Linked DNA regions of Cricetulus griseus. The protein of the gene in region 2 interacts with the protein of the main gene of each other region in a biochemical or structural test. Links are inferred from orthologs where the notes say so. Each region holds a gene or a part of one and is shown on either strand. Other genes may lie near its edges.

Region 1 (3,814 bases), on a different chromosome or scaffold from region 2:
TGCTCTATGCCCTGCCAGGGTCACCTGACTTGTGACTGATGGTACCATCTCCAAGTCAGCTGAATCCAGTTGGCAGAGATGGCTGCAGGAAAGAGGCAGGCTTCCCAGGCAGGGGGTGGGGAAGGTGACAGAAGAGCCCATCCCACACACCAGGCCCACACGGCTAGGCCGTCACACACACAACCCCTGTGAGGACCTTGGGGGGTTAAGTGACAGTGGGAAAACACACACTGGGGAAACTAGTGGGTGGGTGGGTGTGGCGGGGGGGGAGGGAGGAGGGGCTCGGGTTGGACCTGTGCTCGTAACTCATGGGTGAGGGCTGGGGATATGGCTCAGTGGCAGCTCTTGCACAGTACCCATGAGGTCTCGGGTTCCGTGCCCACCACAAATACTAAAAACAGCAAACTGTTTCACCTCCCCCAAATGCAAAGCTGCCAGCTGTACTCAGGCAGACATCATGTAGCCCCAGGGGTCTGATCCGGAAGCACCCGAGGATTGATATCCAACACCCAGTTTGCAGACCCTTCCACCAACCACTGCCCTCCCTATCCCTGACCTCTCTTGCCAGGAAGCATTGAAAATCGGAGCCAGAGTCAAAGCCAAGCCACCAGGAATCCCAGGGCCTGGCAGGAACTGTGCCTTGGCCTCAGCAGCATCCACGTGACAACTGAATGGGACAGTCAGGATTTACAGCAACCCACGAAGGGGAAGAGGCCACCAAGGAGCCAGCCAGCAGCTGGGAACTCACAAAAGCATCCAGGCCTATGCAGGGACACCAGGGCGAGTAACACCAATGCCAAATTAGTTCCCATCCTAACCAAAGGGCAAGGGCCAAGTGGAGAAACTGTCCTCTAACGCTGAGAAGTGACTTGGCCTGGTTATAAACGGTGGCAGCCTGTGAAGGCGTCCTGGCTGGCGTGGGCTCACCTTGGCGTTGAGCATGTCGATGCAGAAGTGGCAGAGAGCCGCCTTGAAGAAGTAGTCTTTGGCGCTGTACTTGAGGAGGGGACTGTCCATGGCGCTGGTCCCTACCTACAGTCACACACCACCATGAGCTCAGGCAGGACTCAAGAGTGAAGGTCACTGCAGCACTGATGTCTGCTAGGAGCTAAGCCTGTATCCTAGGGGAAGGCCTGGGGACCTCAGGATGACAGGGATCAGGGGCAGCTCAGCAAGGTCACCAAGTGTTGCCAGAATGACCAGGACACCATGAGGGTGTGGGTGGAGTAGGGGAAGCCAGGTGTCTGTGGGCCTCACTGGCAGCAAGTCAGTGGGGGAGGAGGCACCACTGCCAGCCATACAGGAAATTGGCACTTGGTGGGCAGAGGGTGGCAGCTGTGGGAGTATGAGAAGCAGTGCCCGCCCCTCTCCCAGGACCAGCTGCCTGCCTATCTTCTGGCCACAGCCTGGCCCTCCCCACAGCACGGTGTCACTGGGGCGGATGACACCTGCTGCTAACCAAGGACCAGAGTCCCTGCTCTGTTCTGCTTCTCCCTCCTGCCCCACTTCTGCTGAGGACACCCAGCTCTGGGGCAGCTCCTGTTAGAAGCGAGTGGCAGGACCCGTCTAGGACAAGGTGGTGACATGCACAGGCTGTGGGTGAAGAAGCACTTGGTGAGGGTGAGGACTGAGTGGGGCAGGCAGAGGGGGTGTGGTGGCAGGCGCTGACAGCCAGGCGAAGCCCACCTGCTCATAGATGTCGATGGCCTTCTGGTACTGCTCCAGCTGTGCGGCGTAGCCAGCCACCTTCAGCAGACACTTGTTGGCTGAGCTGTGGGGAGGAGGAGCATGAAGGGACAGTGGCGGGTCCCACAAGGAGGGGCAGGCTAGGGAGGGGCTACCTGTTGGACTCTTCGCCTTTGTAGTAGTCTGCAGACTGCTCATAGTGGGCGATGGCCTGAGGAGACATGAGGATGGGGCAAGTGGAGTGCAGGACAGCGTGGAGCAACACCTTAGCACAGCTTCCCTGCCTTCCGCAAGCGCACGGCAGGAGCCCTCCTCCCCCTGAGCATCACGGTGGCCGGGACCGGGAGCACCAGAGGCCCCAGCACAGCCAGCCTGACCCCAGCTCACCTTCTCCACGTCCACCAGTTCTGTCTCATAGATCTCAGCGATGGAGATGTGGTGCTTGGCTGCAATCGTGAATCTGCCCTGGGGACACAGGAAAGGATGCCCAGGACCAGTCTCCTCACCCCCAGCACCCTGGGGTGTCCACCTCAGGAAAGGATGCCTAGGACCAGTCTCACCCCCAGCACCCTGGGGTGTCCACCTCAGGAAAGGGTGCCTAGGACCAGTCTCACCCCCAGCACCCTGGCGTTTCCACCTCAGGAAGGGGTCGGTGGACGGTCATGAACTGACAGGAGCAGTGGCCTAGTGTGGCCTACTACCCAGCAGCTGTCTCTCAGGACAGTACCCTAGAACCCGGGGGTGGGGGAGGGAGGGCGGGAGGCAAGAGGAAGCACCTGCGTGGGCACTGTAGTAACGAGGGGATGGACAAGGGGGCAGAGGCACCATGTGAGGGGTGCTGTGTGCTACAGCAGACACCCATCCTGCAGCCCAGCTCAGCCACCAACTTCCCTGCCTCCCACAGCACAGCACAGCACAGCACAGCACAGCACAGCACAGCACAGCACAGCACAGCACAGCACAGCACAGCACAGCACAGACAGGACAGGACCAGCAAGCAACCCTTACCATGTCTGTATAGATCTCGATTGCTCTCATCAGACAGTTAATGGCCTCTAGGGAGGAAAGAGAAGATGAGGATGGAGAGGTCATTACAGCAGATCCTGGAGACAGGAGGTAGCCTGTGCTCCCCAAGGGAGATGCCAGACACGCAGCTGCCTTGGCTTCAGGCCTCTTGGGCTCTCTCAGAGCAACCGGAAGGAGAGGATGGGAGCCCTAGGCCCCAGGCAACCTGAGCCATACTTCCAGCTTTCCAGTGGGATCAGGGCACAATGGCATCGCCAGACTCCCCCAGAGTTTGAATCAGACTACCACAGCCCTGCTGTCAAAGGGCAAACTGATGGATGGCCAGGCTGAACTGGGCAGAGGCTACCAAGCCCACCATCTGTCCTGGAGGCTCTACCTTGAGTAGGTCCTATCCTTGTGACTGCCCTGCCTGGCCTCTCTGGCAGAGAAGGATGGATGCCACGAGCACTAGGGCCCCTCCATGGGGGCTCTGCATCCCCAGTGCTGAAGAGCACTGTCCTTTCCTCAATGCCCTCAACCACACAGCAGGGACCCTGCTGGCTGCTCAAATAACAAGCTGTATCCAACACTAGGATGGCACCAGGCTACCTTTGTTGTACCATCTCTTCCAAGATTTTAAATTTGGGGAAGGCTTTTTTTTTGGACAAGTTATTTGGAGGAGAGAGGCGTGAGTGGGAGGCATTTTCTAGCAGATGGAAACGAGCTCTCAGTATCTTTTAACTACTTTAATGTATCTCAGGATGGGGGTTGGGGGAGGCACGGGGTTGAGGGTCCAGGTGGGCCAGAGGGCTTGTGCTGGGAAGGCTCCAGGACTGCCCCCGGGCTGAGAGTGGACTGGACTCTCTTGGGATGAGGATGCTAAGGCTACTTCTTGAGGAGACTTCGGTAGCCAAGGTCTGTTGGCATAGGCTCTATTGGTGGGACAGTCCCTGCCACGGCAGTGGGGGAGAAACATGGATTCACAGGGCCTAGTCCTCTTATGCTGGCCCCTTGCTCTGGGAACAGCTTGGAAAGTAGTAGGCTGCCAGCTGACACCCGGGCCTGCTCTTACCACAGGGCTTATCTGATGCCACAGGCCTCAGTGAAACCTTGAAGGTAAATA
Region 2 (3,814 bases):
CCCCCCGATGCACTAACACCACAGCCTCAGTCGGAGGGCCGGCACACACGGGACACCAATGCCTGAACAACTGGTTCCTCAGTAGTGGGAAGACATTTATAGTAACACACTCACGGTACAGCACCCTCCAGGAGCAGCTGCTCTCCTCCTTGTTGGCTAGACCCCACAAACCATCAAAGACACTGAACCCTCTCCCAGCCCTCAGTCACGAACACGGTAAAAATAGTCCAAAGACTAATGCAACATTTAGAACTATCCCGAGAACTCCATTTTTACCTAAAATATATTTAAATAACATTTTCATGTCTTGATCAAAACACCTTAAGGATTTACCGGTCCTCAAAATACACTTTAAGGGACAGTGAATGCCACATTTCTTCCAACTTTCCAAGCTAGTGGCTTTAAAAAAAAAAAAAAAAAAAAATGGATTTGGCCTTTGTATCTTCCAGATAAGAAGTATGTCACTGCCATTTCAAGGTGTAGAAAACTCAGGTGATGAGGGTCTCTGTCATTTTGACTTAATCCAATTCTAAACTCGACCTTTACCCAGTGAACAGGTGTGTGCTATGCTTGTAATTTACCAGAGTGAGCAACCAGGCAGAAAAGCAGCCGAGCCAGACAGCTAATGCAGCCCAGAGCTCAGCGCCCGGAAAGCGGCTCTCACCCACCATGAATATACTATTATCTCCCGGTAGCAGTGTAAAGAGAAGGACTGAAGGAGAGGGAAGCAGTGCGTTTGTATTCCTCCACCTTTTTGGATCCTGTTTTCACACTTGGTCTGCAAGAAGCTATTATGAATTCCTTTCTCAGATACTCGGCTGTTCACATTCCAACCCAGCGAATGATACGGATATGAAAACAGTTCTGACAGTATTTCCACTGGGCAAAGAAAATCACTTCACACTGATAAATTAAATAAACCTTCAGGAGAAAAGTGACAAATGAAGATAACGAGTATTTCTTCACATGCGGTACGGAAACTCCCATATGTCTCCTGCATTTGTCTTTGGGGATCAGACTTATCTAATTAAAAACCTTGCCAAGTATCCATTTACTAGACTCGAGGAAGTGCTGATGGGGCCATAAGGTAGAACTACACGGAAAGCAGCCAGCGTCCGTGCAATGTCCACAGGGATGGATAGTGACAGTTGGACAGGTAAGTCTGACCCACAGTAGGTCTTCAGAATGAGGTACTGTTTCTAAAACTGCCCACAGAAAAACACTAAACTAAACAAATAAAATGGAACAACTGTATTATTTCTATTATTTCCCCCATAAGAGTAAATATTTTGAAGTTTTTTCATGAAACAAGTTTTTTTTTTTTTTGTTTTTTGTTTTTTTAAAGAAGTTAAAATCAGTATTACTCAGGTGGATTTGAAAAATCATTTCAGAACTACTTTGGCAAGCGTCTGTCAGCTGTGTGCTTCCTCAGGAGCACCAGCCTTGGGTCAGAAACTCACCCATCTGCTCCACAATCTCCGGAGGGAACACCCGAGAAGCAAATGCTCGTCGGAAAATATCTGAAAACTCCTTATCCAGACCGCCGATTCCCATTTTCTCAAAGTTCCAGTCAGGATTGATGATTGACTGGCGATTTTCCTTGGTTTTAGCTTTGCCTGTGTCAAACAAATACAAATCTGTGAGGAAAACAGCGGGGTTAAGTATAAAAAGGACAGATGCCCCCTGGACCTAAGTGAACTGACACACAGCTGTTCCATAAAGTTGGACAGCACGCACTAGGCTGGTTTTTCCAGTGAGAAGGGTATGACTGACTTACCTATTTTGTCTGCTCTCCATTCATGGTCAGTAATAAACTTCCCAAACTAACTAAACGTATGCTAGTCTAGTCTATCTGCAGTCAGCCCACGGAATTCCGATTCATTAACTTTTAATCCAACTAAAGTAACTTAGTTGATGAAAGGAAACACCATGCATGTATCTGACGCAGATCCCACCAGCTCCAGGGATGTAGCTGACGTTGAGCACTGGCTCACAGCCCCTGGTAAGTGGATATAAGATGTATGTATTTACCCGGGGGAAGCGTATGGCGGCAGATAGCCCCTCAGCCTAGGATGTATGGAATGAGTTTGATGTCTTGTCACAGGTACACAAAAGTCTAAAAACATTCTAAAGGCTTTAATGACTGCAGAAGTTATACTTACAAATTCTCTCATAAAGATAAAAATTGTTTAATTTAGATGTCAGAGTGCCACCTAAGGTAACTCAAGAGAACCACACCTTTTTCAGACACAAAGAACAGGGTACCCTGGCACACTCTAAACAAAAGGGGAAACATAGACTTTATGAAGTTGAGGGAGAAAATATCACATTAAAAAATTTGCAGATAATAATTTTCTGGTTAGTTTTGCAGACTTAAGATTTCCTTTAAGAAGGAAATCAAAAATATTTTATTATGCTCTACTGCCCTCTTGTGGTCAGACTCATTGCATGCCAAATTACTGCAATTTCATTTTCCAACTGAAATCACATCTCATAAGTTCCTTGAAAACACCTACACTGTCCAAACGCTATAGAATTGCCTTGGGATAAGATATTTTAACAAAAATCATGCAAAAGTAAAATATAAATAAATCACATCATAAACATCCTGTGTCCATAATAGGAAATTACAATACATCTATCTTAAAAATGGGATATATGTGGGCATTAAAATCATAATGTGAGATATATTTAAGATCCTTGAAACATGTTAAGCAAAGAAAAGCAAATTAAGGGTTACTGATGTGGCTTGCTTGGTGAATTAAGGCACTTGTAACTGGATAACCTGTGTTTGATCCCATCCCTCACAGACAGAAAGAACTGACTCTCCAAAGTTATCCTCTGAGCACATGTAACATGTCACATGTGCCCAAACGCCTATGCCCCCACACAATAACTACATAAGGTAAGTCATAAAATGAAATTTAGAATGTGAATTTTGTCTTAGTGAATGCTTATCCATAGGCACAGTGGCACAATCCTAGCATGCAGAGCATACAGAGCAAGAGGTCCACACTTTCAAGGCGTGTCTGGGCTGGTGAGATGGCTTAGCAGTTACTGTGATACACTGTTCCTGCAGAGGACCTGAGTTTGGCTCTCAGCACTCATGTTCAAAGGCTCAGAACCATCTGCAACTCCAGTTCCAGGGGGATCTGATGCTGTCTTCCGGCCTCCGTACACTGTATTCAGTGCACAGACCACACAATGGAAAAGAGAGTCTTTTTCAAAAAAGGTAAAAGACAAACTGCAATAGAGACTGGTAAATTACTGATTTAAAAAAAACAAAAACAAAAACAATAACCCACATTTAAACAAAGTCAAGTAACTTTGGACAGCCAATGAAAAACTTCTCTGTTCCATTGGGACAGACATGAACATAATTATGTCAACCATAAATTCCAGTTAGCACATCATTATTTAAATGAGTTGCTATTCTGAGAGATTAAACTGCATTATTTTAACATATCAAAGCAAGGCAAGTAAGCAAAAGCTAAATATGCTGGGAGGAGTTTAAGCACACACTCGTCACTCCATCACTAAAGAACAGTGATGGTATTTCATTTAACAAAGCAATTAGCTGAGGGGCTGACGGGTCACAAAAGATCATGAAATTCTGAGGAGGTGTCAGAGATGGGAAGAGTCCCACGGAACAACTCCGTGTAGTGCGGGATGATCTTGAATAAGACTCTAGAGCAGAGGGAGGCCGTAATGGAAAACCTGGTGGAATCTGAGGAAAGATAGCACCTTGGGTGGCAGCAGGGAATCCATGTGAACTTGTCAGCTTTGGTGACTGCATTGTATGACGCTCACACCA

What was found.
Region 1: the proteins of Nsf (region 2) and Napa form a complex in vitro, tested with the Homo sapiens proteins (2 studies listed by BioGRID). The link is inferred for Cricetulus griseus from reciprocal best matches to the Homo sapiens genes NSF and NAPA.

What each region holds. Positions count from the first base shown.
Region 1 is NC_048602.1:10,775,562-10,779,375, reverse strand, and holds part of Napa (alpha-soluble NSF attachment protein), read right to left. Parts: intron 2,742-3,814; coding exon 2,695-2,741; intron 2,152-2,694; coding exon 2,074-2,151; intron 1,898-2,073; coding exon 1,842-1,897; intron 1,772-1,841; coding exon 1,687-1,771; intron 1,033-1,686; coding exon 928-1,032; intron 1-927. UniProt on the Homo sapiens protein: Required for vesicular transport between the endoplasmic reticulum and the Golgi apparatus. Together with GNA12 promotes CDH5 localization to plasma membrane.
Region 2 is NC_048600.1:116,949,389-116,953,202, forward strand, and holds part of Nsf (vesicle-fusing ATPase), read right to left. Parts: intron 1,617-3,814; coding exon 1,461-1,616; intron 1-1,460.